5 linked regions of the Macaca fascicularis genome follow. The protein of the gene in region 4 purifies or fractionates together with the protein of the main gene of each other region. This does not show direct contact. Links are inferred from orthologs where the notes say so. Each region holds a gene or a part of one and is shown on either strand. Other genes may lie near its edges. The genes, in order: POLH, SLF2, SLF1, RAD18 and SHPRH.

What was found.
Region 1: the proteins of RAD18 (region 4) and POLH purify together in Homo sapiens (affinity purification with western blotting; 7 studies listed by BioGRID, with this or other methods). This does not show direct contact. The link is inferred for Macaca fascicularis from reciprocal best matches to the Homo sapiens genes RAD18 and POLH.
Region 2: the proteins of RAD18 (region 4) and SLF2 purify together in Homo sapiens (affinity purification with mass spectrometry; 3 studies listed by BioGRID and IntAct, with this or other methods). This does not show direct contact. The link is inferred for Macaca fascicularis from reciprocal best matches to the Homo sapiens genes RAD18 and SLF2.
Region 3: the proteins of RAD18 (region 4) and SLF1 purify together in Homo sapiens (affinity purification with mass spectrometry; 4 studies listed by BioGRID and IntAct, with this or other methods). This does not show direct contact. The link is inferred for Macaca fascicularis from reciprocal best matches to the Homo sapiens genes RAD18 and SLF1.
Region 5: the proteins of RAD18 (region 4) and SHPRH purify together in Homo sapiens (affinity purification with western blotting; 3 studies listed by BioGRID and IntAct, with this or other methods). This does not show direct contact. The link is inferred for Macaca fascicularis from reciprocal best matches to the Homo sapiens genes RAD18 and SHPRH.

What each region holds. Positions count from the first base shown.
Region 1 is NC_088378.1:127,932,871-127,939,008, reverse strand, and holds part of POLH (DNA polymerase eta), read left to right. Parts: intron 1-3,145; coding exon 3,146-3,363; exon of another isoform or gene 3,364-3,492; coding exon of another isoform or gene 3,493-3,526; intron 3,527-6,138. UniProt on the Homo sapiens protein: DNA polymerase specifically involved in the DNA repair by translesion synthesis (TLS). Due to low processivity on both damaged and normal DNA, cooperates with the heterotetrameric (REV3L, REV7, POLD2 and POLD3) POLZ complex for complete bypass of DNA lesions.
Region 2 is NC_088383.1:109,901,516-109,907,653, forward strand, and holds part of SLF2 (SMC5-SMC6 complex localization factor protein 2), read left to right. Parts: intron 1-369; coding exon 370-472; intron 473-1,790; coding exon 1,791-1,967; intron 1,968-3,479; coding exon 3,480-3,577; exon of another isoform or gene 3,578-3,587; intron 3,588-4,204; coding exon 4,205-4,292; intron 4,293-6,138. UniProt on the Homo sapiens protein: Plays a role in the DNA damage response (DDR) pathway by regulating postreplication repair of UV-damaged DNA and genomic stability maintenance.
Region 3 is NC_088380.1:98,621,099-98,627,236, reverse strand, and holds part of SLF1 (SMC5-SMC6 complex localization factor protein 1), read right to left. Parts: intron 2,180-6,138; coding exon 2,066-2,179; intron 1,899-2,065; coding exon 1,823-1,898; intron 458-1,822; coding exon 217-457; intron 1-216. UniProt on the Homo sapiens protein: Plays a role in the DNA damage response (DDR) pathway by regulating postreplication repair of UV-damaged DNA and genomic stability maintenance.
Region 4 is NC_088376.1:147,137,738-147,143,875, reverse strand, and holds the end of RAD18 (E3 ubiquitin-protein ligase RAD18), read left to right. Parts: intron 1-3,817; coding exon 3,818-3,920; 3' UTR 3,921-5,415; downstream 5,416-6,138. UniProt on the Homo sapiens protein: E3 ubiquitin-protein ligase involved in postreplication repair of UV-damaged DNA. Postreplication repair functions in gap-filling of a daughter strand on replication of damaged DNA.
Region 5 is NC_088378.1:53,798,715-53,804,852, reverse strand, and holds part of SHPRH (E3 ubiquitin-protein ligase SHPRH), read left to right. Parts: coding exon 1-124; intron 125-1,578; coding exon 1,579-1,687; intron 1,688-2,285; coding exon 2,286-2,542; intron 2,543-4,116; coding exon 4,117-4,776; intron 4,777-6,036; coding exon 6,037-6,138. UniProt on the Homo sapiens protein: E3 ubiquitin-protein ligase involved in DNA repair.

The sequences.
Region 1 (6,138 bases), on a different chromosome or scaffold from region 4:
CACCACTGCACTCCAGTCTGGGTGACAGAGTCAGACCCTGTCTCAAGAAAGAAAAAAGTTCAGACAGCTAAGTGAAAGACTGAGGATCACATGTGTTTTTTAAGATTCTAATATCTATGTTCTCAAGATACACTGTGCTATGTGGTGTGGTATAGGAATCATGCTTTGACTCAGGACCTGAGATACTTCTGAATTCTAATTCTATGAATTAGAAGTCTAAAGGTAGAGTAGCATAGCCAGACCCACATTGGAATTATTGCTAGAAAAGAAGATAGACTTGACTGAAGATTAAGTTTTCCAGATACTCTTAAAAATGCCTTGCAGTGATTTGCTCAAGAGGCTGTGAGGAAGCACTGAAATCAAGTATTGTTTTGGAAAAACTCAAACTATGGTTTTCCTCTCCTCTCACACCACAAGAACGATCAACACAGAAGACATCTATGACTAAAGGTGTGGAAGTATTTCCCCACACACCAATCAGCAGACACCAGCTGTGTGTCCTCCCAGTCAATTCCAACACTGTCTACCTGGAGATGGCTTCAGATTCCACATGCTGAGGGCTCAGTACCACAAGAACACCCCCTCCTTCCTTTCCATCACAAGTCCAGGCTTTTAGAACGTCTGAACAGCTGGCTTTAAGTTGGGGTTCCTACAATCCCTTCTTTGGATTAATTTGCTGAAGTGACTCACAGAACTCAGGAGAACACTTACTTATGTTTATTGATTTATTATAAAGGATATTATGAAGGATACAGTTAGGTTGGGCATGGTGGCTCACACCTGTAATCTGAGCACTTTGGGAGGCTGAGACAGGAGGATTGCTTGAGCTCAGGAGTTCGAGACCAGCCTGGGCAATATAGTAAGACCTCATCTCTACCAAAATTAAAAAAAAAAAAAAAAAAAAGAAACACACACAAAATTAGCCAGACATGGTATCATGCAGCTCTAGTTCCAGCTACTCGGGAAGCTGAGGTGGGAGGATCACTTGAGCCCAGGAGATTGTGGTTGCAGAGAGTCATGATCAAACCGCTGCATCCAGCCTGGACAGCAATGAGATCCTGTCAAAAAAAACAGGAAGATGAAGAGATATATAGAGCAAGGCATGTGAGAAGGGGTGTGGAGCTTTCATGCCCTTCCTGGATGAGTCACCCTCCAGGAATCTCTACCGTTACAGCTGTTTGGAACCTCTCTGGACCCTGTCCTCTTGCGTTTTTAGGGAGGCTGCATTATGTACTCATGACTGATTAAACCGTTGGCCATAGGTGATCAACTTGACCTGCAGACCTCTCCTCCTCTCCCCTCCCCAGAAGTTGAGGGGTAGGGCCAAAGGTTCCAACCCTTCTGAAGCTATTATTCAACATTAGCATACAAAAAGACAAAACTTGGGTGATTCCAAGGATTTCTGGAGTTGTATGCCAGGAAACTGAGATGAAGACCCAATATATATTTCACAATATTGCAAGTATCCTTTTCTGGCTTTGTACGTGAGCATATTGCTCTTTCTTTTTTCTTTTCTTTTTGTTTTTTGTGAGTGGGGGATGGAGTTTCACTCTTGTTGCCCAGGCTAGGGTCCAATGGTGGGATCTCGACTCACTACAACCTCCGCCTCTTGGGTTCAAGTGATTCTCCTGCCTCAGCCTCCCGAATATCTGGGATTACAGTCATATGCCACCATGCCAGCTAATTTTGTATTTTTAGTAGAAACGGGGTTTCTCCATGTTGGTCAGGCTGGTCTTGAACTCCTGACCTCAGGTGATCCACCCACCTCTGCCTTCCAAAGTGCTGGGATTACAGGTGTGAGCCGCCGTGCTTGGTCTTGCTCTTTATTTTCTTTGAGGCCTGTCTTCTTCCTGGCTCAAATAATGATTAAAAAAAAAAAAAAAAAGTCAAGTGTTTCTCTAATTTGAGAATGTTTTAGAACAATGATTATACTGGTTTTTATGGGTGTCATGGTGAAGAGGTACCAGTGTTTTCATTTTTATGGTAAATGTAAATTCAATAGGAACAAAGAACTGGACACTACAAAGCAGGTCCAAACCAAAGCAAAGAAAATATCTGTATAGTGGCCGGGTGCGGTGGCTCATGCCTGTAATCCCAGCACTTTGGGAGGCCAAGATGGGAGGATCACCTGAGGTCAGGAATTTGAGATCAGCCTGGCCAACATGGTGAAACCCCATCTCTACTAAAAATATTAAAAAATTAGCCGGGCATGGTGGCAGGCGCCTGTAATCCCAGCTACTTGGGAGGCTGAGGCAGGAGAATCGCTTGAACCCAGGAGGCAGTGGTTGCAGTGGGGCCAGATCCCGCTATTGCACTCCAGCATGGGGGACAGGAGCGAGACTTCATCTCAAAAAAAAAAGAAAAGAACAAAATATCTGTATATTGTCACAGAAAACTAGCTATACAGGCAGAAGAGCTGCTTATTAAAGTTTGAATAGAAGACATATGGTGAGATTGGTATGTATACCCTGAGGACGGTTGTCTGCCCACCCAGACATATCACCACATTCTAGGTGCTTATCTTCGGTTTGATAATTTGAATATTAGTATATCCATAAATGGTTGGTTAAGGCATGTGTGTGTATGTGGTGATGACCAGTTTACATGTTAACCAAACTCACCGTTGACTGAAGTATAAAATCCATATGCCAGTTTGTTAATTTATGGTGAGAAATATTATCCTGGGGAAGACCATATGCTCTGGTTCACTGATCAGTGCAGTGTTCCATGTAAATCACCCTTTTTTTTTTTTTTGAGACAAAATTAGAAGCAGAAGATTTCTTGGTGGATATATGAAAATAAAAAGAATAGGTGATCACAGTAATACACAAATGTGAGGCATTTCTTTATTTTTTATAGAGTTCCTTGTCATATAGACGTGTTCATAGTCTGAATGCTTTCTACCTTGGTAGTTCTGGCATTGTGCTAAAAATATTTGCCTCCGTGGTTCTTCCTTTTCCATGCTTCTATTATTGACCATCTGCCTGCCTGTTGACCCTTTCAGTTACTACTTTCTAGTCTCTGTTAAGCCACATGTCTCTTGATTATGTATATTATTGTTCATTATGGCAGGGTGGGAGTGGAGCAGACAATCTCAAGGTTGCCTCTGTTTATTGCCTGCATGAATGATCCTTACACTTCTTAGGTACCGGGAAGCCAGTGTTGAAGTGATGGAGATAATGTCGCGTTTTGCTGTGATTGAACGTGCCAGCATTGATGAGGCTTACGTAGATCTGACCAGTTCTGTACAAGAGAGACTACAAAAGCTACAAGGTCAGCCTATCTCAGCAGACTTGTTGCCAAGCACTTACATTGAAGGGTTGCCCCAAGGCCCTACAACAGCAGAAGAGACTGTTCAGAAAGGTACTTCCATAACATCATATTGCTTCTGCTTCCTGCCTTTGGAACCTGCTTTGCTTGGTCATGCTGATTCTCCATGGAATAATTGAAAGGAAACTTAAACTACAGCCTGAATGAATCACAAGGACTTACATGGAAGCATATACAAATTTTCTTATCTTTCCAGGTATATGGCTGTTGAGAAGCTGTGAAATCTGTATGAAAGTAAATTTCTCTTTTAGATGTAACTAGGGCAGGTTAGTGTTATCAGTAGAAGGCAGAGGCCTGGCGCGGTGGTTCACGCCTGTAACCCCAGCACTTTGGGAGGCTGAAGTGGGTGGATCATGAGGTCAGGAGTTCAAGACCAACCTGGCAGCATGGTGAAACCCCATCTCTACTAAAATGCAAAAATTAGCTGGGCATGGTGGTGCGTGCCTGTAATCTGCTACTCAGGAGGCTGAGGCAGGAGAATTGCTTGAACCAGGACCCAGGAGGCAGAGGTTACGGTGAGCTGAGATCTCACCACTGCACTCCAGCCTAGGCTACAGAGGGAGACTCCATCTCAAAAAACAAAAAAATCACTAGAAGGCTGACTAAGCACTTTGTCATTGGTGGCTTAATTTTTATTATTGTAACTTAGTGTCTTGGTTAACTAATATATAAGAAGGGTGAGCTTTTTAAAGGGGGACCTCAGGTATAGGGAGTTGAGTGATTCAAAATTTCTACTCACTTCATAGCACATTATTACATGGGCTGCACAAGGCCCTTCTCATTGTATTTTGCTACTTTTACCCTTCATAGTGATTTTCCCACTCCCTCTGTACCCCCCTCACCCTCTTGTACCCACTGATATACTTGATATATCTTAGATGTGTATATATCTCTTCTCTTCTCTTCTCTATTTTGAGATGGAACGTCACTCTCGCCCTGGCTGGAGTGCAGTGGCACGATCTCAGCTCACTGCAACCTCCGCCTGCACGGTTCAAGCAGTTCTCCTGCCTCAGCCTCCGGAGTATTTGGGATTATAGGCATGTACCGCCAAGCCCGGCTAATTTTTGTATTTTTCATAGAGACGGAGTTTCATCATGTTGACCAGGCAGATCTCGAACTCCTGACCTCAAATGATCCACCCGCCTCGGCCTCCCAAAGTGCTGGGATTACAGGCGTAAGCCACCGCACCCGGCCTATATCTTTATAAGTTACCCAGTATTGCTTTGTATATGTGCTTTTTAATTACAAGATGATTTTGTGCTATTAATAGATCTCATTCTTTTTCTTAATTTTCCCTCAGTAGTGACCTTAGAGATCTCTCCATGTGGCTGTATTTATTTGTAATTGCTGGCTTCGATGGCTGTTACTTGCAGCATAATCCATGATATGGACCCACCATGTTTACAGACCATTTTCCCTGGTGACAAATTCATTGATTGCTTCTAATGTCCTACTGTAACAGTTTACATTCCTCCTAGGAGTACATAAAAGTTCCTGTTTCCCCCATATTCTCAACAACTCATATCATCTAATGTTTAAAAATAGGCCGGGCGCGGTGGCTCAAGCCTGTAATCCCAGCACTTTGGGAGGCCGAGACGGGCGGATCATGAGGTCAGGAGATTGAGACCATCCTGGCTAACACGGTGAAACCCCGTCTCTACTAAAAAAATACAAAAAACTAGCCGGGCGAGGTGGCGGGCGCCTGTAGTCCCAGCTACTCAGGAGGCTGAGGCAGGAGAATGGCGTGAACCTGGGAGGCGGAGCTTGCAGTGAGCCGAGATCGTGCCACTACACTCCAGCCTGGGCGACAGAGTGAGACTCCGTCTTAAAAAAAAAAAAAAAAAAATTTGCTGGCCAGGCGCAGTGGCTCATGCCTGTAATCCCAGCACTTTGGGAGGCTGAGGCAGGTGAATCACGAGGTCAGGAGATTGAGACCATCCTGGCTAACATGGTGAAACCCCGTCTCTATTAAAAATACAAAAAAATTAGCCTGGTGTGGTGGTGGGCGCCCGTAGTCCCAGCTACTTGGGAGGCTGAGGCAGGAGAGTGGCATGAACCCAGGAGGCGGAGCTTGCAGTGAGCTGAGATCGCGCCACTGCACTCCAGCCTGGACGATAGAGCGAGACTCTGTCTCAAAAAAAAAAAATAAATAAATAAATAATTGCCAATATAATGTTTGTTTGTTTTGTTTTAATTTACATTTCTGTGATTACTAATTGAGATTGAAGATCTTTTCATACACTTGTAAGCCAGCTGAGTTTCTGCTTCTGTGATTTACCTTTTTATAATCTTTGCCCATTTTTCCATGACAAATGGTAAAATTATTTATTTTTTGATTTGCAAGAGTTCCTTGTATATCCTATCCTAATTATTAGTTCCTTGTCTTTTTTTTTTTTTTTGGAGATGGAAGTCTCACTATGTTGCCCAGGCTAGAGTGCAGTGGCTATCAGTGGCTATTCACAGGTGTGTAATTATGGCTCCACTGCAGCCTTGAACTCCTGGGCTCAAACAGTCCTCCCACCTCAGCCTGCAGAGTAGCTGGAACTACAGGTATGCGCCATCATGCCTGGCTAATTTTAAAATTTTTTGTAGAGATAGGGTCTCACTATGTTGCCCAGGCTTTTCTTTTCTTTTTTTTTTTTTTTTTTTTTTTTTGAGACGGAGTCTCGCTCTGTCACCCAGGCTGGAGTGCTGTGGCCGGATCTCAGCTCACTGCAAGCTCCGCCTCCCGGGTTCCCGCCATTCTCCTGCCTCAGCCTCCCGAGTAGCCGGGACTACAGGCGCCCGCCACCTCGCCCGGCTAGTTTT
Region 2 (6,138 bases), on a different chromosome or scaffold from region 4:
ATCTTCTACATAGCTCTCTAACACCAAGAGCAAGGAGGATAGTACCATATAAAACGTAGTTTGTTCAAGAGAAAACTGATGCATAACGATAGAAATGATATTAGTGTTTGCCTTGAGTCAGGGATAGCAGATTGACTTGGATTTGGCATAAAGAGATTTTTGAGGGGAATGGAAATGTTCTACTTCTTGATTAGGATGGTGGTTACATTAGTATATATGATTATCAAAACTTAAAATGGGTACATTCCTTTTATTGTATGTAAATTATACCTCGATAAAACATAGTTTTTAAAAAGTAGCCCAGTATTTCTTAAAGTGAGTAATATATTTTGTGCCTAACTTCACATTGCTTTACTCACTTCTCAATAGTTCTGAAACACAGACAACATCAAGGGGAAAAGAAAGTGAAGATTCATCTTATAAGCCAATTTTTTCAACACTTCCTGAAACCAACATTTTAAATGTGGTTAAGGTAGGAAAAAACTTTTGTGTGTCTTTGGCTCAGAGCTAGAACCATTTGGTCTGTGGTTAATGGTTTTTTGAAAAAAAAAAAATCTCGGCTGGGCACGGTGGCTCACGCCTGTAATCCCAGCACTTTGGGAGGCCAAGGCGGGCAGATCACGAAGTCAGGAAATCGAGACTATCCTGGCTAACACAGTGAAAACCCGTCTCTACTAAAAATACAGGCCGGGCGCGGTGGCTTACGCCTGTAATCCCAGCACTTTGGGAGGCCAAGGCAGGCAGATCACAAGGTCAAGAGATCAAGACCATCCTGGCTAACATGGTGAAACTCCGTCTCTACTAAAAATACAAAAAAAAAAAAATTAGCTGGGTGTGGTGGCGGGCACCTGTGGTCCCAGCTGCTCGAGAGGCTGAGGCAGGAGAATGGTGTGAATCTGGGAGGTGGAGCTTGCAGTGAGCTGAGATCACGCCACTGCACTCCAGCCTGGGCAACAGAGTGAGACTGTGTCTCAAAAAAAAAACTCTAGTTTCTTACCAGGTGATTTCCAGTCTCTGAAATTTCTTAGCAATAATCTTTGTATTAAAGATTGTTTTTGCTGTTTTTGTGTTGTTTTAATATTAGTGATGAACAGGAACTTTAGGTCAGTTACATCATTAAATAGTTTTGAAACCAATAGTTTTTTATAAGTAGGATGTATGAAGAAAGAAGTCTTACAATATAATTTAGTGATCAAGCATTAATGGCAGAGGCCGGGCACGGTGGCTCATGCCTGTAATCCCAGCACTGTGGGAGGCCAAGGCGGGTGGATCAGCTGAGGTCAGGAGTTCGAGACCAGCTTGGCCAACATGGTGAAACCCTGTCTCTACTAAAAATCGCAAAAAAAAAATTAGCCAGGCATGGTGGCAGGTCCTGTTATCCCAGCTACTGGGGAGGCTGAGGCGGGAGAATCACTTGAACCTGGGAGGTGGAAGTTGCAGTGAGGCGAGATCACACCACTGCACTGCAGCCTGGGCGACAGAGTGAGACTCCGTCTCAAAAAAAAGAAGGTCAAAAAAAGTTAATGACAGTGTGAAACATTTTTAGTTGCTGAATTGAATCGGTGTTACTGAACCATTAAGAAAATCTCAAAAATGGAAAATGGAGAAGAAAATGCCACTTAATTCAACTATTAACGTGGAGTAGTTCTTGCCTTCTTTTGTCTAGACATCTGATGTTTGTTTTCTTTATAGTTCTTTTTTGCGTCTTTTGTCAAAAAGTTTATAATTAAAACCCTAAAAATAAAATACACCTTCTAAAATATTTTTGTCTGTGCATTTATGTTAAACAGTTTCTAGGCTTGTGTACATCTATACATCCAGAAGGTTACCAGGATCGTGAAATAATGTTGCTGATTTTAATGTTATTTAAAATGAGTTTGGAAAAACAGCTGAAACAGATTCCTCTAGTAGACTTTCAAAGCCTCCTGATAAACCTGATGAAAAACATCAGAGATTGGAACACAAAGGTAATGTTACTTAAAACTTCATTATTCATTTTTTATATAGCATTACAATTTGACTCATAGTGCATATGGAATTAATACTGTTTCTAAACTCAAGATCTTTGGCAGATTAAAAATGAACTGAGGAAGAGACTGTTTGCTGGAGCTGTATTATTTAAATTCATGATAATTGAATTTTTTCTAAAACTTCAGCTCTTTATCCAACAAAAATGTGTTTATTGGGGATTTCCTGTGGACTCAGCATTAATGTAGGTGCTAGAGATTGAGCTGTGAAAGAGACAAAGCCTTTGCCTTCATGGGGCTTTTGTCCTAGTCAAAGGGTTAGATAAACAAGTAAATGTTGATTATATTATCATGTCAGGTAGTAGTTAAGTACTACAAATTAAAATAAAGCAGGACATGAGTACAGCAAGACTGGATGCTATGCTATTTCATATAAGGCAGTCAGGGAAAGGCCTTTCCAAAATAACCTTGGAGCAGAGACCTAAATGAAATGACGGAGTGAGTCATACCTACAACCAGAATTTGAGTTGAACTTCTGCAACCATATGGAGGATGAACATGTATAATTTTTGTTAGGACTTTTTAAAAATTATATTTTTCAGTCTTTTTTGGTGGAAAAATTAAAATAGGCAGAAGTAAGGCAAAGAGTATAATAAATTCCTAAGTATCACTTTGCTTCAATAATTGAGACATAATCTTGTCTAATGTAAAACTGACCCTATATTTCCTTTCCCTGCTCATCAGATTATTTTGAAGCAACTGTTAGGCTTTTTAAAAAATTGATACACAATGGTAATACATATTTGGGGGGTGTTAGGCTTTTTTTTTTTTTTTTAGACAGCATCTCCTGTCACCCAGGCAGGAGTACAGTGATGCAATCTTGTCCCAGTGCAACCTCTGCCTCCTAGTTTCAGGTGATTCTTGTGCCTCAGCCTCCTAAGTAGCTGAGACCATAGACACACGCCACCCTGCCCAGCTAATTTCTGTGTATTTAGTAGACACAGGGTTTTATCATGTTGGCCAGGCTGGTCTCAAACTCCTGGCCTCAAGGGATTCACCTTCCTTAGCCTCCCAAAGTGCTGGGATTACAGGCATGAGCCACCACACCCAGCCAGGTGTTAGGCTTTTAAAAATACTGAAATAGGATCCCTGTGCAAGAAATCCCAAATCAGGAATATATATAGTCTTGTACAACTCTGATACACATTTATGTTTAGATCAGTTTATCCTTCCAAGAAGGACTGTTTAAAGATATGATGTAGTACAAAACATGAAAGCCAAGTGAAATTCTGCTAAATGTATCTGTTCAGTCCATTTAAGATAGTATAAGTAAAACAATCTGTGTATTGTGTACATTTTAGCAGATTCTAGACTCCATGCTATTTCTAAAAATGTGTGCCCTTATTTTGTACTAGTGCTTCCATTATGGCAAGAAGGGATGTAGATGATCTGTTGGGTGTTTGATTTTACTGTTCTGTTTGAAAAGAAATCTTACATGTTCTTTTTTTTCAGGTGCGTGAACTCTGTCTGGGCATAAATGAACTCTCGAGTCATCCCCACAACCTTCTGTGGTTAGTACAGCTGGTCCCTAATTGGACATCACGTGGAAGGTATTGAAAAGTGAGAATTAAACATTAAGAAATTTTATAATTTTAGATTAATGAAATGCCTTGGTTCTTTATTTCCATTCATCATTCTTTGAATGTTAGATCAGAGATGTTTATTTCATATTCAGTTGTGAGAAAAGGCATTGATAGCCTGATTCTTTCTTACTCTAATTCTTAACTCAGGTCGTTATGTAATTTTTTTTTTTTTTTTTGAGACAGAGTCTCACTCTGTCACCCAAGTTGAATATTTTTTTATTTTTAATTTTAGTTTATCTGTTACCTTAATACAGATGACATATTCCACAAAAATAAATGAATCAGCTTTTTTTTGCTTTAGTAAAAATAAATTTCATCAGTAAAAAAAAATAGGTTTTCTGTCAGTAAATCATCAGGGTCAAAGATAAGGCTGTTAAATGATTTACTGAGCTTCAGATAATTCAAGTTTTATGTACAAATATTTTACATGAAAATTTTACTGTTCTATAACAGCTTATATGTTCCTGTACAGACTTCTCTTGAAACATTGCCTATATTTCCAATTAGAACTAGAGCTCCTCTTGACTCATTCATTTGCTTTTCAAGCAGTATTAATTAAAATACATTCTAAATACTTTTAACTTCTAATTCTAGGCAACTGAGACAGTGCCTCAGTCTAGTGATTATTTCAAAGCTTTTGGATGAGAAACATGAAGATGTTCCTAATGCCAGTAATCTGCAGGTATAAATAAATACATTTTTATTTTTAATAAATGGGAGAGGTAATGAGAGGTATAAGGAAAATTGATGAACCCTAAGTCAAAGGTCCTGGGGTCAGAGCTCAGCTCTCAAGCATGATACTGTTCATGTAATCTCTAGCACACTTAACTAACAAGGTCCAGTTTTTTCATCTGTGAAATGGAGATAGTATTGCACCCTCCACCACATAGAATGGTTGTGGACAATCATCTCTGAATTAATGTATAAAGAAACTACTGGGAAAATCATAATGTGGAATTACATGAATATGATTTCATTTATTGAATTAGTTCAACTTGTCTAAGTTAGCAGTTTTATCGCAAACTTAGAAATTGCAAAACCATTGTACATTGATTGCATCTTTAACCTGTTTTAAAATGAGTCTTTTTAGATCATAGAGCTTAAATGTAGTTGCCCTCTAGTACTTGTTCAGTAAGAATATATCATGTATATATGAGAATGTGGACAAACATGTCCAACTGTTGCTCGGTAGTGGTGGCACACACCTATAGTCCCAGCTACTTGGGAGGCTGAGGCCAGAGGATCCTTCGAATCCAGGAGTTCGAGTCCAACCTAAGCAACATGGGGAGACCCTGTCTTTAATATATATATGTGAATTTTTTTAATTTAAAAAAATGTCCTACGGAAGTCCCTCTCTCAGAAGTTCTGAAGGCTTTTTACAAACATTGATAGCACTAATGGGGCTGCCCTTGGTTGGATTTGAAAACTCACCATAGGCCAGGCACGGTGGCTCACACCTGTAATCCCAGCACTTTGGGAGGCCTAGGTGGGCGGATCACGAGGTCAGGAGATCGAGACCATCCTGGCCAACACCGTGAAACCCCATCTCTACTAAATACAAAAAAATTAGTCAGGCCTGGTGGCAGGCACCTGTAGTCCCAGCTACTCGGGAGGCTGAGGCAGGAGAATGGCGTGAACCCGGGAGGCGGAGCTTGCAGTAAGCCGAGATCACGCTACTGCACTCCAGCCTGGGCGACAGAGCGAGACTGTGTCTCAAAAAAAAAAAAAAAAACTCACCGTAGAACCTGATCTGGATGTCCCTTTGTTCTTGTTTGAATTGCAATTTGGTACAAGGTATGCCACCAGGTCTTAGGAATTAAAACAAAACAAAGATTTAGATTTGAGGCTGCCCTTGAAAACATAATATAATGGTTGAAACAAAATTAACCAACTCTTGTGGGTTAGTGTGGTAAGAACAGTAACCGAAGCATGCAGAAGATGCTGGGGATGGAGAGATTGATGGGCACAGCTGGTTTCTGCTTTAGTAGAGTTGAGGTAGATTTGATTCCAGATATATGGGGATCGTGCTGGAGCTACCAGGGTAATTAGCAGATAGTTCTCATTCCTTTCAATGATATTTACTGCCTTCGAAAAAGATCCGGGGATAGGATTTCTACCATTTCTTTTTTTTTTTTTTTTTTTTTTTTTTTTGAGACGGAGTCTCGCTCTGTCGCCCAGGCTGGAGTGCAGTGGCCGGATCTCAGCTCACTGCAAGCTCCGCCTCCCGGGTTCACGCCATTCTCCTGCCTCAGCCTCCCGAGTAGCTGGGACTACAGGCGCCCGCCACCTCGCCCGGCTAGTTTTTTGTATTTTTTTAGTAGAGACGGGGTTTCACCGTGTTAGCCAGGATGGTCTCGATCTCCCGACCTCGTGATCCGCCCGTCTCGGCCTCCCAAAGTGCTGGGATTACAGGCTTGAGCCACCGCGCCCGGCCGGGATTTCTACCATTTCTCCTAACTTTTGTTGTTCTGTTACTTTTTCCTTTTTTGCCCATGTAAAATAGAATAATTAACCAAATAATTATATGA
Region 3 (6,138 bases), on a different chromosome or scaffold from region 4:
GAGATATCCAGAATAATCTAAAACAATATTGTAAAGTAGATTTTGTTCTATGAAAGACACATAAGTCTAAAAGAGCATAATGGCTTACCTAGGAGATTGGAGTAAATCACCATGGCTCATTTGGGCTAATAATTGCAAAAAAATACAGAAAGTACTCATACAAATCAAAATTATTTTCTCACGAATTGCTTTAGCTTTTATGTAATCACATCCTACCTTATAAGAGAATCACTTCGCTTATCAGTTCTAACAAGGAGGACAACTTTCCATCTGTGGAAGGCTCCTGGAGCACCAGTGCGTTTCAGTTCTTCACGCCACCTTTTAGGTGCAGATTGCATTTGAGGTGAATAACGGGAATCTTTTTCAATTTTATATCCCCATTCATAAGTTGTTTCATCAAGCCATCTGCCACTTTTGGCACTATGAATTATATAGTCCTTGGTTAGTATCCACTTTCCTAGAAAGCAAATGAGCTGTCAGTCACAAAGGAATTTTGGTTCTGATAAATGATAAACAACGAAGATCAATTATAAAATAAAAGTCAACCTTTTTCAAGATAAGACTCTTAAGCGACACTGCTAACATTATCTTTGAACTATGCATTTTGGGGAAATTTTTTGATAGTGAGAGGCTTACAATATCACTGAACACTGTATGTAATCTTTTCCATGACAAATAATTGTAATTCTAAATATAATTCCATAGTTATAACTTAGTTATAATTATAGTTTCATTTAAATATAATTCTAAATTACAATTCTATAATTCTAAACATAAATCTAAAGCTTTAAAATCCAAAATAAAATGTGGTATTACTTGAATTATTATTACTATCATTATTCACTATTTTGGGTTAGATTTATATTCTTCCTCCTATGCTAACAGCTTTTCCAATATTGTTCACAGCATTATTACTCTGTAAAACAAATTTATTGAGTTAAGGAATTTTTCAGGTCATTTTATAACTTTTTTTTTTTTTTTTTTAAAGAGATGAGATCTCGCTACGTTGCCCAGGCTGATCTTAAAACTCCTGGGCACAAGTGATCCTTTTGCTTTGGCCTCCCAAAGTGCTAGGATTACAGGCATGAGCCTCCGCACGCAACCAACAGTTTCTTTATCTGGGCATCAATGATCTTTTTGAACACTATGGACAATGTATGTTTTCATTTGTAAAGTTAAAAACGAATGCAAGTGTTTTCCTTGTAAGTTAATCTAAAAAAGGATAAATTCACCCAAGTTACACACACTTTTTTTTTTTTTTTTGCAATCAGTAGACTAATGATATGTTAGATCAATCACAATACAGAAAGCTATAAAAATAGAGAAAGCTATAAATTACAAAACGATACAGGAGAAGACTAAGTCTTAATTTGGATCTATAGAATTTAATATCTTAGAAAAATAAAATAGTATGACCATTGTTTCATAATATGGATAGAAGCAGCAGAGAGAGAACAAAAGCACTGACTGTATCAAATGACAGATGAAAGAAAACTTGACTGAAAACAGCTGAGACTTTAACAAAAGCTTAAGATTTTGACATTTTGTGCCAGTCTTTTAGTTAATGTATTTTTTTTGTCTTATATAAAACACACTAAATCCTTGTTGAGGTAAATATTTTTGCCTATTTAATACATTTTTCATGTGTTACAGAATTTTACTCAGAAGAATAAGCAAAAAAAAAAAATTAAATATTTTCAAAAAATATCAGAAAAACACATTGAGGTTTGATATATAAATATGCTATCTCTCCAGAGAATAAAATACTTTTTCTTTAACATGAAGATTGTTTTCAAAAGTTGGGGCAAGACAGTTAACTTACCTGCTGCACAAGCTGCTAAAAATTTTTCACTCTTACATAGGCGTTCAGCTATAAGATGTGTACAATTTTTGTATTTCTGGAGGGAAAAATCCACATCAAGAAATGTTACTAAAGTAAGACTGCCTTTATAACACATTCTTCTTATTGTTACAATATCAAGAAGGCATTTTATCATTGTTAGGCCAGCATTTTAATTCTAGTTATTTTTCAAATATACCTTGAACATTTTGCTAAGTTTCTTACCTCACTCTTAATAAAAGTGCAATCTAGTTTTAAAAGTAATTTGACTAGCGCTTCTTTTTCTTCCATCTTAAATCCTGTCATTTGGATGATATGCTTTGGGGCACCATCTTCCATCTAGCAAATACAAACGTACAGAAGATAACATGTTAAAGATATTATTCACAGGGTTGACATCATTATTTTTTCTTAATTATGAGTACTAAAAATAAACTATTAAACATATAATGAATTAAAGACGTTAGGCATAACTCTTAAAACAATGTTAAAATTACTTACATACGATAGAAACTAGTTTTAAAAGTTATCTTCTCAAAATGTGGCCTTAAAAAAGTGAGGGGTTTTTTTTCTTTCTGATTTGAACATTGAAAGTCTGGATTAATACGTTACTTGACACTAAAACACATTGATGAATAAATATTCTTCCTCAGAAAATGACAGAATGTTATACAAATATTGGCATAATAATGTTATACAAGCTTCATTTAAAAAGTATTGTTGGGCCGGGCGCAGTGCCTCATACCTGTAATCCCAGCACTTTCGGAGACCAAGGCAGGCGGATCACGAGGTCAGGAATTCTAGACCAGCCTGGCCAACATGATGAAACCCCACCTCTACTAAAAATATAAAAATTAGCCAGGTGTGGTGGCAGGTACCTTTAATCCCTGCTACTCAGGAGGCTGAGGCAGGAGAATCGATTGAACCTGGGATGCAGTGGTTGCAATGAGATGAGATCACACAACTGCACTCCAGCCTGGGCGACACAGTGAGACTGCATCTCAAAAATAAACAAACAAACAAACAGAGTATTGTTGGCCGGGAGCGGTGGCTCATGCCTATAATCCTAGCACTTTCTTTGGGAGGCCAAGGCGGGCAGATCACCTGAGGTCGGGAGTTTGAGACTAGCCTGCCAACATGGTGAAATCCCATCTCCATTAAAAATACAAAATTAGCCTGGCATGGTGGCACATACCTGTAATCCCAGCCACTCGGGAGGGTGAGGTGGGAGAATTTCTTGAACCCAGGAGGCAGAGGTAGTGGTGAGCTGAGATCGCACCATTGCACTACACAGCCTGGGCAACAAGAGCGAAACTCCATTTCAAAAAACAAAAAAAAAACTACCGTTGTTCGCTAAGAGCTTTTGAAACTTACAGACAATGAAACAATCAGATTTTATGCTCCACAAAGACTTTAAAGCCTCTGTGGACAGATATTAAATATGTACACATTACCGGAGAAGTGAATAGAACTCATGGTCTCACAGCATTTATATCCAATAATTTAGTAAAGTGTGTACACATAATAATCCTGGATCCTATTTGCAATCTATATTTCTTAACTTTGCTATATATATATGTTAATTTCATCATTTACAAGGTAAACTGAAAAATCACTTTTTTTAAAATCTAAGTTTATTTTCATAGGGACCCTCAATCCATATTTTAATGTAGTTCACAAAAAGTACTTTGTGTTTAGGGAGTACATAACTCATAGAATTTCTCATCAGAATACAATTTTATTTGTTTACATGAGGTTGAACTGGAGATCTAGATAGCATCTTAGAGAAAAATCTCAATCTTTTCACAGACAAGGAAAGCAGGGACTAGAGAAATCAGGGCAATTTTTCATTTCCCTAACAATTTGGTCATCATAGCTATGGATTATTAATATTTAACTAATGTCATAGCTAGAATAACAACAGTAGCTATTTTCAACAACCAAAGAAACATGACTTCTTTCAATACAATTACAAGTAAACTTCAAAAACTGTAATGATTTGAGCCCATAACTAATAGCACACAACTGGTAAAGTGAGAAACATTCTTCACAAAAGTCTGCTTTTAAAGACATATAAATACAACATATATAAAGGTTGGGATTCATTTAAGAGTAAAAATTGAAAGAAAGTCTCAATATAAACAATTTAAAGCATTACTCAGAAGTGAACTTTTATTTCTTTGCTTAGAGTTTTGAAGAGGAGGAAGTTCGGCTAGGGTAACTGCACTCTTAATTTTTCTCTACCCTTCATCACTCCCCATTTCGTTGGAGAAGCTCCTTGAGACAACTAAATGGATATGCTTTGCTCAGCCTATCTGCATATTTGCAAAGAAGGTCCATATCGATGCTTTCTGACACATCCTAAGGAGCTGCCAGTAGTAGTCCTGCACTGCCTGTGTGGGTAAGTCAATTCAGAGGCTATGTACTAGGAAGCACACTATGGTTCCATATCAAAACCACTGCCTTCTTGCAGAAGGATGAGGGAAAAACAAAACAAAACAAAAACCATCATCTTCAAAGCAATGTTTACTCAATAAAAAAGCTGATATTTCAACCTCAATTTATCTGATTTTTGCATTTCTCAACTGGCTGCAAAAGGGGCAAAGAGGTACAATGTACTTTAACCCTCTAAAACTCAGATACAGAACATAAGAAAGTGCCTTAAAGATAAGGCTCTCCAATGAAATAAATGTTTTTATTAAAAAGTTACAGGGATTTGGTCTAGTCAGTGTAAAATTTTTAAGTGCACATACTAGGGATTGGTCTCTTATGAAAAATTAATCATATACATGAAACAGTTTCATCAGTAAATAAATTAAGCTTCTTGTATAAGGAACCCCTTACTGTATTAATCATCCAATTTTTTTTTTTTTTGAGATGGAGTCTCGCTCCGTCGCCCAGGCTGGAGTGCAATGGCACAATCTCGGCTCAGTGCAAGTTCTCCTCCCCAGTTCACGCCATTCTCCTGCCTCAGCCTCCCGAGTAGCTGGGACTACAGGCGTCCGCCACCACACCTGGCTTTTTTTTTTTGCTTTTTTTTTTTTTTTGAGACAGAGTCTCACTCTGTCGCCCAGGCTAGAGTACAGTGGCGCTGTCTCGGTTCACTGCAACCTCTGCCTCCTGGGTTCAAGCAGTTCTCTGCCTCAGCCTCCCAAGTAGCTGGGATTACAGGCACATATGCTTTTCCTACTACTTGTATATTTTTAATGTATTTTAGAGTTTCAAGGGCTATTTAATGGCTATTTCAGGAATATTGCCAAAGAAGTTTGAGTGGTTTTAAAAAATCTAAAATCTTGCCTGATTATTCTAAAAATTGACACAAAAAAACTAATGTTAAGTAATCGGAATATACAAAAAATAGTAAAAAAATTGTTATAACACTGTTACCCAAAAGAGTTTTATTTAAAGTTTGTCCTTTAAATTTTATTATTCTGCTTTCTCAGAATTAAGTTATACAGAAATAAAGGAAACATATCCTACATTGCTGTTTCCAGATCATGTTAACAGCTATTTTACAATTTGAATATTATTAACAACGTAACATTTTAATGTATTCTGGTTTCAAGTATAAATTATTAAATTATTTGGATTTATTGGAGTTAGTGTGTAAAGCAAAGTTTTCATCTTAAACCATATGGTCTTTATAATAAAATAAATACGATGGAAATAACCCACTTTGTATATTTAACAGCATTTTCTGTCAAAACAAGAGCCCATAGTAAAATGAAAATAGGACTAACTGCATAATAGCAGAAATCAGGAAACCCCTTTAAAGCAATTTATTTCCTTTGAAAATGATTAAATATGAAACTGAAATTAAACATGCAGAGGAAAGGGAAGCAGGAAACAAAGGTGAAAAAATAGAATTTCCTGATTCAAACATTATCCGTAAACTGTGCATGTTTAAAAACAAATCAGAATACAGGATATTCTAGTCACAAGTTTATCAAAAAAACTGAGCTATTAGCTAAACTTTAACAGAATCAGGAATCCCAGTGATGGCCCAAAATAACTAGCACAGTTTTATAACAGTTTTCTACAATAAAATTATCTCCTTGAAACAAGAGAGTTTAGAATACATTTAGTAATGCTTTTCTACAGCACATGATATGACAAGTGAATGACTTGGATTATAGGATCTAATTCATGCAGTTACACAGGAAAACTGTATATGTAGGAATAAATATAAACATGTATAGATATATTGATTGATTGATTTATAAAATTCATGGTTTGACGGTTCTTTCTGACCCTGCAGGATTAAGAATACAATAAACCTGATATGTCAATGAAGCCAA
Region 4 (6,138 bases):
TGTCATGTTTGTTAAATGATACAATTACTGTAATTGAAAGTACTTGCAGCAGGAAAACAGTGAATCTCATGTTTAAAAAAATGAATAAAAGGAAACTCAGGCCTGTTTACAGTGGTCCTTGATCTGACCACTCTCTCTATGATCAACATGAGGCAAGGAGAGCCACACACCAGGAGATTCTTTCTATGGACCTACCAAGAAGGAAAGTAGGTCATCCTGGAAATAATGTGTATTGGAAGCAGGTTAATAATGAATGGCTGGCTCTCCTAAGGCATGTTTTTGCATTCAATAGATTCAGTACTTTAACAGTAGATAGATTCAGTACTTTAACGGTAGATGCCTCACTGTGGCCCTCCCCAGGAATATCCTCTCATCTGGCTAACATGCTATTGTCAAATTTTACTAAAAGAAATTCATTAGTAATACCTGCTGGAGACCAAGAATTTTAAAACCTGCTGCACCTGTGAGATCTTACTAAGTGTTATTCCAGTAAGTCAATGCGTTACATGCATGGAAAAAAATATGGGTTGGGTTATTCTATTAGGATTCTTGTATCTTAGGGGATGAGGTGTTTTAGAGAGTGTTCTGGGAGTACCACTGAAATACTCCTTGCCAGGAACTCCCCTCCTAAGGAAGTGGAAGAAGTATAGATGACTTCTTCCGCTACCTCAATAGCTGTGTCTGTTGCCAGCTATCATAAAGGCAAATCAAAGAGGGGAAACATGGAAAGAAAATATTACTGAAAAATGTTAAAGGATTATTAAAAACAAGGTATGAGAATAAAGAGCAATAAAATAGAAGTTAAAAGTAAGGAGGAACATCCCACTAAATTTTAAGCCTTAAAAATAATCAGAAGTCAAATAAGTAAATGATAATAAAACATTAAGATAAAAAATTTGACATGGTGAAAGTTGAGAGATTTTTAAGAACATAAACTAAAACATGAAAAAAAGTAAAAATGATAAGAGTGATAGCAAAAATGGTGGAAATTCTCTGCTCCATAAATGCAGTAATAAAACTGCAAAAATTGTCGGATTCAACTTTTCGGAAAACTCTGAACATTAACCAAAGGCAGCAGCACTTTAGGGGGCATTGATTCAAGAAAATGTCTGAATCTCAGTGAGAACAGTGAGTTTTGTGGTGATTCATCTGGTTTTGTTCTCATCCTTCTCTCTCTAGTTCCTCTGTGGCCTTGGGAGCCAACAGTCTGCAGTCATGGTGAGGACCAGCAGGCTGACAGCCTGCAGAGAAGGCAGAGTAGGGTTGGAGCCCCTTTAAAGCCACATTCCTGGAGAATTTTTACTTAGCCTATCTAATGGTTCCCTGGAAGACTCTACTTGCCAAGACTATCTTTACTTTACCTGACTTGGAGCTTGCTCACTTCAAAAAGCCTTTTCTCTAAGGGTATTTGTTGAATGCAGTTAGAGATGTTTGGCTAGCTTTGTAGCTGTCTGAGGTGGTACATAACAATTGGGGCAAATGATATGCTAACCAAAAAGCCTAATAGTAAAAGCTGAAAAGTAAGATTTCCATGGGGGTTTTGAACAGCTGTAAAATATTACTGGGAATCTAGAGGGTCACTCTCATTCATAGAGCTTCTGTGCATACTTAGGATAGACCTAAGGAAGCACTAAGCTTTCACCCCTGGTTAACCATGAGGCTGTGTGCAAGCAGGAAGTAGAGGCTAAGGCAGAGTTGTCCACTGAGTGTTGAGTGAATGTTGATTGCATGCCCCAGCATGCACACAGAGCCCCTCAGCAAAGACTGGTTTTGCTAAGAGTTTCTGAATGATACTGGTTCCAGAGGTCTAAGGAACTGTTCAATCATTAGTGGACTACAAAGCTAATCAAGCAGACACTTTTAGTTGCCATACACAACGAAGAATACGTATTTATAGGATTGGTTTAGAAACGTCACTAAACAATAATAGCAAACAGCAACAACAACAAATCCTGGAGAGATCTTATTGGTTGGTTGTTTATTTTTGGTATTTATCATGATTGGGGTTCTTTGACCAACTTTGATCTTGATTTGATGTGTTTCAAATTTTTAGAAAATCCACAGCCATATGTATTTACATACTTATTTTCCACAGTTCTTTCTCTCCTTTCTTCCAGGCATTCCAGTTACACACATATTATGCCATTTTTATTGTCTCACAGCTCTGGCTGCTCTATTCTATGTGCACACCCTCACACACTCCTTTTTCTCTTTGTATCTTAATCTGGATGGTTTTTATTGACATCTTCAAGTTCACTAAGTCTTTTTATCAACTTTATGTATTACACTTAAAGCCTATTGAAGGAATTTCCATCTCAAAATGGGTTTTTTTCCTTGCATTATTGTGTATCATACTTTTTGAATGCTGGCCATACAGTGAAGGACCATAGGGACTGAGGTCAATAGTGTTTGTGCCTAGAAATGGGTATCCTTCTATTGGGTCATTAGTGTTGGGAGTTGAGCCAGGTAATTCAGAGTTGACCTGGGTTGGAGTTTCCTAGTGACTAATGTGACCTTCAGTGCATCCACTTCAAGTTACTCTAGCAGATGTCTGCTTTGACTTCTGCTTAGTGTTGGGGCTGGATTGCCAGAGGGTTTGTCTCACTGATTTTACTCCCATTTTCCTTTCCGTCATGCTTACTTGCCTGCACCCCATAGGGGCATATCTTCACCATGTTCGTATCTCTCCCTCAGCCATTTCCTGCTCCTGCTTATTGCTTGGTGCTACGCTCATGGTGGGAAACAGCCAAGGTTCACTGTTATCTCAGTCCAGCCTGAGTCTTAGGTAGGCCCTGTGAGCTTAGGGATGGGCCTTTCTCAGCACTTCTGCCTCCTCCCATGGTATCAGGCTACCTTGACCAAACCTCTGCTTGGTGTCAGTGTAAGGTCATCAGCTGGAGATGATTTTCTGCCCCTCCTGTAAGGTAGAGGTTTTAGTTTCTACATTTCCCCTGCCGCAGTGAATCTTTGCCTGCGTCCCTGCAAATGAGGTCATATGCCTCCCCTTGAGACAGACTGATTTCACCTCTGTTCCTTCTCCAGAGGCCATGGGTCTTTGCCAGAGCCCCAGAGTGAGTTTCCTATGTTTCCCTCAGCAATTGAAAAGCTTATGCTTCATGGGAGAGAAGCATTCAAGAAAGCAGGCAGGACTTCTTCTTGTCCCCAGTAGCCACTGAAGTGGCCCCTCTCCATTCTCCTGCCCTGCTCCCAGTCTTCTTGTGAGCACCTGACGGAGGCTCGTGGAAAAGAGCTGGCAAGTGTGTGCAGACTCTCCTTGTGTCAGTGGCCCGCAGTACTAGCCTGTACTTAAGAAATTAGGAAAATCTTAGCTGATTCTTCTTCCCTGTTTGTATGGTAGCCACCTCGTTCTCCAACACTCTGCCAAAAGTGAGAGACGTGTGGCCCATCTTTGGAGGGGCATATTTTTCTTTGGAATTTTGCTTTCTTAGTTCCTTTACAACCTCAGGTCTCTGAAGGATCAAGAAGAGTTAAGATTTTGTTAGACTGCCTGGCTTTTTCTTGTTAGGATGGGAGCAGCTTTTTGTTTACCTTTTCTTTTCCAGTCCTCTACATGCTAAACAGAAGCATAAAACTCCTAAATTTTAATTCAGCAAAAGGGACTATCTGTAATCCTTGCTAATTCACTAATTCATAAAGTGGAAATACTAATAATAACAATTATGAATTCATCCACAGAATAGAGGGTTATTTCGAGGTTTTAATGAAATAATACCTGTGGAAACACTTGTAAACTAGAAACTGCTGTAGAATAATAATCATTACTTTCTAAGATGCCATTTCTTTTTTCTGTCTTCAGAAACGATCTTCAAGACACAGAAATAAGTCCAAGACAGAATCGCCGCACAAGAGCCGCTGAAAGTGCTGAGATTGAACCAAGAAACAAGCGTAATAGGAATTAGTGTGGGCTTTTGCTGACTTTTCAAATGCAGTGATTAGAATAAGGTACTTTTGGTTGCCACAGACAGATTTCCTGTTTATAAATGCCCAAGGAAAGATGCTAAATTCTAAATATTATGGTCAGCTGATGTTCATTCTTTTCTGCTTTTCCAGAGGGGAAAAATATTACAAAGTATCTGTACTTGGTCAGTTGCCTCCTTCCTCTAAAACATCTCTATCTAAAAATACTGACATTTTACACAAGCACCAGCTTTGCAGAGTAGGCAGACTCTTTGGCACTTTGGCAGAGGGATTTGGTTTGGTTTGGTATAGTTTGGTTTGATATCTAAATTTCAGAATGTCCTTAGGCCATTCTCCTTCTCTTCCCTGGAGAATCCAACCTCACAAAAGGATTCTTTCAACCTCTTTATTACAAGAAACAGTTGAGTTAAATGTTTATGTTTTTGGAAAGGCAGGATGTCAGTTCACATCCTTGGTGTGTGTAAGTACCAATGCAGGCCACCACCATGCCTGTGGTACAGCAGCTCCATGATGGTTGTTGCCCGAGGTTAATGTAGTTGTTTGTTAGACCTGTGTCTTACACATTTCTCAGAGTAAGATATTAGTATTATAATTTAAAGCCACAACAGTCAGAAAGTCACAATAACTTAGAAACATTGCACATATTCTTCTGAAATAGCACTTAAAAATGATTAGTGTATTTTTTCACTTGGGTCAATCAAATCTGTAACACTGAATCCAAGCTATTAAACAAAAAAAATATGCAATGAATGAATTTTGTAAATGAATAGAGTGTATCAGTTTACAATAATGTTCTTAAAACAGGATCCTCTGGATAGCTGAGTATGGGTTAGAAATCATTGAAATGGATTGGTCAGAAATTGCTATCTGTGTGTAAAATGTCTACCAGTAGCCAGATGCTTCCGGAGTTCATAATGCCTCTCTGGCATTTCAGAGCCAGCATTCCCCAACTCCCACCCCTCTGCCACCACCCATTCCAAACACATCATCTTTCAAATGAGATGACAGCAAATGCAGCAATGTTAAGACAAGAAATTTGTAATTTGCCAGGTTCAACATTTATGACCTCCCCATTCCAAAGACTGTCTCTGTTGACCTTGGCTTTTTGATGTGCTTTGGGGTTTCTGATAATGTGCAGAGTCTCATTATGGCTGAAAGTTTAGTGTTTTCACAGTGAAGTCCAGACATTTGATTTCTTTATGAGTTCCTTGTGTTAGAAATGACTATAGAAAAATTTGTCATAATAATTTCATTTGCTTGAAATCCTTAATGGTGCATTAAGGAAACTAAAAGCACCACTTACCAAATCCATCAGCAGAACTGATGTGAGGTAAGTGAGCATGTCAAACAAAATTGGGGCTCACATGACTATATTTATGTCACTGAGTTGTCAGAAATTATGTCAAAATGAAAACTGCTTGTTTCATGACAAATTACACAGTCTGTAAATTAAACTGGAAGTAATTACTACTTTAACTGCAGCAAAAGGAGTTTGTGAGGGAGTGGTGAGACCCAAGACTGGGAAAGCAGGCACATGAGTTCATTCAGCAAATATTTAGTTATCTACTTAGTTATATATCTGTCACTGTACTGACACTGGGAATACAAAGGTGGCCAAAGATCAGCTAGAACAGTGGTTCCCAGTGGGGTGGGCAGAAAGATTTTGCCCCCCAGGAGATAGCTGGCAATGTGTGGAGACACTTTTGGAGGTGGAGGGTGGTGAGGGGTACTACCAGTATCAATGGGTGGAGGCCAGGGATGGTGCTAAACATCCAACCCTCACGTGTTAGTTTGCCAGGGCTGGCATCACAAAATACTACAGACTGGGAAGCTTAAACAACAATTCTGGAGGCTGGAAGTCCAAGATCAGTAGGGTTTCTTCTTCGGCCTCTCTCCTTGGCTTCCAGACAGTGGCCTTCTTCCGACGTCCTTGCATGGTCTGTGTGCACATGACTGTGCAGGACTGGTGTCCTGATTTCTTATAGGGACAGCAGTCATTGGATCAGGGCCCATGCATATGGCCTCATTTTACTTTAGTTACCTCTTTTTTAGGTAGAGGACCCTATCTCTCAATACCGTCACATTCTGAGATACTGACAGTTAAGACTTCCAACATATTTAGTGGCAGGGGTTGGGGGGCACACTTTAGCCCAGAACACTCCACAGTAAAGAACTATCCAGTCTAAAATATCAGTTGTG
Region 5 (6,138 bases), on a different chromosome or scaffold from region 4:
GCTGCAGTTGCTTGGTGGAATTTTAGCAGATGAGATGGGTCTTGGAAAGACAGTGGAGGTTTTGGCTCTGATTCTGACACATACTCGACAAGATGTCAAACAAGATACTCTCACTCTTCCTGAGGTAGGAGGGGTACAGTAGGGCTTGCAAAAGCAAGGGACATATGTTCTCGAAAAGCATCATATGTTGAACATTTGCTTGGCACTTAAGTCAACACTTTCTGTTCACTCTGTGGGTAATGATTTATATTAGTGGTTAGTTAACTTCAAGTGGGCAGAGAGAATGGGGTGTTTGTGACCCAGAAGGTTTATTTTTTAAGTAATGTTGGCCAACCTGGAAGAGAATTAGCAGTCACTTACTAAACTTCCTTCTAGTTGGCAGAGAAACTCCTTTAAAAAGTACTGTTGACTCCTCAAATGTTTTGTCACTAATAAAGTCTCCATATTACTACTAAATATTTTTAAGAGCTATTTAAAAATATTGTACAAATCTCAGATATATAAATCTTAGAACCAAATAATTAGAACTTTGTTAAAGAACAGGTAGCTTAGTAAATAGATTGCTAAATGAAACAAATTTCAAGTCCTTGTCCCAAAATACATAATTGTGTATAAAAATATAAATTTTGGAGTTACAGAAACAAAATCCACTAAGGCAAATATAGTATATAGCTCATATTTTCTAGTAATGAAATCCAAAATCAGCGTTTACATTAAATCTTGCTGAAATGAAGTCAGTAGTTAAAGGTGTAATTATAATTAATTACATCCAGGATCCACCAGTCTCACAGCTTTAGCATTATGTTATCTTTCAGTAGGGTCAAGTTTGCAGAATTAGCCTTTCAGATTTGAATAGGAAATAGAAAAAATTATGTTTTCTTTGTAGAAGTGTGACTTGGAATATGTTGATTTAGCTCAGTAACTTCTCTCTGAGATGTCCTACTCATTACTCCTTTAATTCCAGGTTATTTTCATATTATTATAAATTCAATGGGTTAATTTTATATTTAAATATACCTTTAAAAGTTAATTTCAGGCCGGGCATGGTGGCTCACGCCTGTAATTCCCAGCACTTTGGGAGGCTGAGGCAGGCGGATCACGAGGTCAGGAGATTGAGACCATCCTGGCTAACATGGTGAAACCCCGTCTCTACTAAAAATACAAAAAATTAGCCAGGCGTGGTGGCGGGTGCCGGTAGTCCCAGCTACTCAGGAGGCTGAGGCAGGAGAATGGCGTGAATCTGGGAGGCGGAGCTGGCAGTGAGCCGAGATCGCGCCACTGTACTCCAGCCTGGGTGACAGAGCTAGACGCCGTCTCAAAAAAAAAAAAACTTAATTTTGGAGGTTCCACACATATCATTTAGGTAATTTAAGATAATATGCACATATTTTTTAAGTGATAGCTAGCTGTAAACTCAGAAATAAAACAATGTATGTATCTACAGCTATTTGGCCCTTTCTCTTGCAAGTTTTTTACAACTGTTTTGCATTTCCATAAAGAAGGAAAGTTAATTTCAATAAACAATTCAGAATACTGAGAGCAAAACACTGTGTAACTACTGACTGTTGTTTGTATCAGGGAAAAGTGGTGAATTACTTTATTCCGTCACATTATTTTGGAGGAAAACTGAAAGAGACAGAAATCCAGAATATCGAATTTGAACCAAAAGAAAAAGTTCAATGCCCTCGTAAGTATGACATCTCTTAAGGGAAATACCTTTTTGTAGTGATCTTTGCTAAAGTTCTTGCAATCCTTAGAGATATCTTGTAATTGTTATAAATAATTGTTTTTACAGTTATGTATGCTTTTCATAAATGAATTCAATTACAAGTCATAATATCTTAACAAAAGTAAAGATGTATTCTTTTGTTTGACTTGGCCCAGGTAGTTCTTGCTCAATCTGTTGTATTTAAATCTCTTTAGCTTGCAGTTTAAACCAGGCTTTATTTATCTTTTAGGAAATGAACGTTTCATATACTAATCATTGTGTATACTTACATAATTGTGAGAGTTTTCTTTTATAATTCTGAATGATTGTTGTTTTATAACATTAACAATTCAATATGAGTAATTCTTCCTTCAATTATTTGTATTACACTAATTTGTTTCTTAATATGCTGAGATACATTTTTATTACATATTTTTTCAAAATGACACTATGTTGTAATAAATCTTTGATTTATTTTTTTCTTAACTCAGTCCTCATGCAGATTAAGATTAACCAAGTTTTACTTTCTTTTCATTTTAATTATTTTGACTGAATTAGCATATCCTTTTACATTTAGCTACACGTGTGATGATCCTGACAGCTGTGAAGGAAATGAATGGAAAAAAAGGAGTGTCCATCCTTTCCATCTATAAGTATGTCAGTTCTATATATAGATACGATGTTCAACGGAACAGGAGTCTTTTGAAACGGATGCTGAAATGTTTAATTTTTGAAGGTCTCGTGAAACAGATCAAAGGCCATGGTTTTTCTGGGACTTTTACATTAGGAAAGAATTACAAGGAGGAAGATATATGTGATAAAACAAAAAAGCAGGTAACAGAGCTTAAGTTAAGCTGCATATTAAGTACACGTATGTGATACCTTACCGAGTACATTGACAGATCCCACCTTGACACTGAAACTCTTACAATCTGAAGATAAAAAACAAAATAGGAAGAGTACTTATATCTGTAACTTATATTTTCTACTTTGTGGATATAAACTCCATGAGAGTAACTTTATTTTGGCTATCATTAAACCCAGAGGATAATGCTTGGCACATAACAAATACTCAGATATTTATTGAATGAATTATAAAATTAGTTGGCTAAGCGTATTATAGAGTCTAAAGCATCTTCTGTATTATTTATTTTTAGTATTTTTTTAAGAGACAAGGCGTCTGTCTATTGCCCTGGCTAGAATGCAGTGGTCATAGCTAACTGCAGCCTTGAACTCCTGTGCCAAGCTATCATCTTGCCTTAGCCTCCCAAGTAATTATGAGTACAGGCTCATGCTACCATGCCTGGTTAATTTTTCTTATTTTTTGTAGAGATGGGGTTCTCACTGTGTTGCCCAGGCAGGTCTGGAACTACTAAATTCTTATTTTCTTTATATTATTATCTTATAAAATTTCTGCATTTTGTTAGAAAACTGCTTCTGTTGGGCCAGTAATTTCAGTTTGCTTTTAGGAAAATAGTTAAAATATTTGCAATCATAAATAAAGACTAAAGACAACAAGTCAAAATGTGGAACTAGCAGCTTGGCCACCAAGAAAAAGACAAAAAAATTATTTCCTGGAGTAGAAAGTCTGGTATTGTCCTTGGGTAGCATTGAAGACAGCAATCAACTGTGCTTTTGGTAATCCTGCTACCACCAAAACGAGAAAATTTCCCATTGAATACATGTTGTGTCTTAACTCCGCTGTTCGACCTCAGCCCTGATATCACTTGGAGGAAGCTGTCCCTGTTACCTACCTACCTATCATACTCCCACTATGTTGTACAACCCTCTTAGGTATTCCTATAGCATCATTTTACTTTTTACTGTTCTCACTTTTCCAGTAGACCCCTTTGAGACCAGGGGCCAAATATTGTTCATATTTGTGTCCCTAGCATCTAACACAACTACTGGCACAGAATTGGCATTTAATAAGTAATTATAAGAGAGGACACATGTAGAAAAGGGAAGGAAAGAAGGAATCAATTTGCTAATTGCAGTAATCAGTGGATTATCTTTTACTTTCTTTGGATGCAATATGTTAGTACTTGGTATTTTTGTAGTTGCCCCAATTTGTGTATTTGTGTACTTGAAAGTACTAGTCTTGTATTGATTTAGGCAGACTAAATCATAGTATGTTAATAACAAAATATCAGTAGCTTCCTTTATCTTCCTAACTTTTTGTCTCTTCAAATCTTATACTTGTAGAGCCTTCCTTTTCTTTTGCGATAAAGTGAGGGTCCTTACAGAGGGCAGATTGGAAACCACTTATCAGGAGTGATTCTCCTCAGGGAAAAGGGTAGCAAAGACTGGCTGCTAGATTTTTATATGAAGTACTTACATAAAGTCAGGCGTTTAATTTCAGAAGTGCAACTATGTTGAAATCAATTAATTAAATATTTTTTTCATAGGCAGTAGGGAGTCCAAGGAAAATTCAGAAAGAATCTAGAAAATCAGGGAACAAGGACACAGATTCTGAATACTTGCCATCAAACACCTCTGATGATGATGACGATCCTTACTATTATTATTATAAGGCCAGGAGAAATCGTAGTAAATTGAGGAAAAAGCCTATTCCATCCACAAAAAAGGGAAAAAGTCAACCATTTATCAATCCCCATTCACAAGGTCTCTGTCCAGCTACTAGCAACTCCGGAATAACTGATGTTGCTATATCTAAAAGTACATGTATCTCTGAATTCAACCAAGAAAATGAAACAGAGGACTGTGCTGAATCTCTAAATGCTGATGTTAGTGATGTGCCACCTTCTAATACCATGAGTCCCTTTAACACCTCTGATTATCGCTTTGAGTGCATATGTGGTGAACTTGATCAGATAGATCGTAAGCCTCGTGTTCAGTGCCTGAAGTGTCACCTGTGGCAGCATGCAAAGTGCGTGAATTATGATGAGAAAAATCTGAAGATCAAGCCTTTTTATTGCCCCCACTGCCTTGTTGCAATGGAGCCAGTGTCAACAAGAGCAACTCTGATCATCTCTCCAAGTTCCATCTGTCACCAGTGGGTGGATGAGATCAACAGGCATGTGAGGTCATCATCTCTTCGAGTCTTGGTAAGGCCACTTGGACTAGAGGGAGAGGAAGATGTGAAGTTTTTCTTGTTCATGATAGTTTCCGAATCTTTGTTTCTTTGTTGTTTATCCTCAAAACTAACTGAATGATTTAAAGTAATGTTAAAGCTTAAAGAAAAAAATCGAGACTAAGAACTAGAACAGTACAGTGTTATTCTTTTCTAACATCAGAATTTCAGCAGTTTAAGCATTCTGAATATAAAGATGTGAACACTTTTTAAAAATTCTTGAGTATGTAAATGAAAAAATCTTGGTATAAGCATTTATAGTCTTCAGAGAGAAATGCAATCCAAAGGCAGCACTGTGGTATAGGAGCTACTTATCTGACCTGCCATCTCTTAGCTCCAGAATCATCCTCTAAAGCTTCAGTTACCTCAGCTGTAAAATAAGAGTTTACTTATACAGCAAATCTTTATTGACCACTTAAATTATGTGCCAGGAACTGTGCTGAGTTTTAAAAATAGTATCCAGTCATTTGTGAAGATTATATGATTTCATCAAGTACTGGGCACATAGTAATATTATTGTTTCCTAATATTAATACCCATCACTAATTTCATTCTTCCTTCTTTCCATGCAAATGTTACTGAAGGTTTTTATATTTCATCCACTCTACATAGGCATGGAGAATACAGTAATAAGTAAAACAATTTTTGCTGTTAAGAAGCTCTGTTCCGTGTGGGTAGGCAAAGCTTTGAGTCTTAGTTCCATCAGTTTTGAGCAAGTCACTTTATTTTTCTTATGTGTGGGATAGGAATGTTAACTACCAACAGAGTTATTGTTGAAGTTTGGAGATAATGCTTAGCACAGTATCTGAAATATAAAAGATGTTTCATAAATAATAGCTCTTATTTTTCTACATTTTCATACCATTGTGCTTTCACCTATGCTATTGATTCCATCCTCTTACCTACATATAGCCCTTTTCTTTTTTTGCCACCTATGAGAACCTTTAAGATATACCTCAGGTTTTAACTCCTCTGTGATTTCACCTTCTCCGCTACAGAATTGGTCTTTCCACTGTGATGCTGTCATGTTTACATTTATTACAGTTTGTTGTACATCAATTATGTAATTCGTCTTCCACACTGGAACATGTCTTTCTCTAAACAGATATGGGATCTGTCTCATAGCATGAATGCTCCTAAGAAAATAGAGAGGACTTAGTAAAGGTATAAATGAGTGAATATTTCATTGCCTTTAGTGAGCCTTTTTGCAGTAACTGCCTGTATTATTTCCTAGGTATATCAAGGAGTGAAGAAAGATGGCTTTTTACAACCTCATTTTTTGGCAGAACAGGATATAGTTATTATCACCTATGATGTACTTCGTTCAGAATTAAAT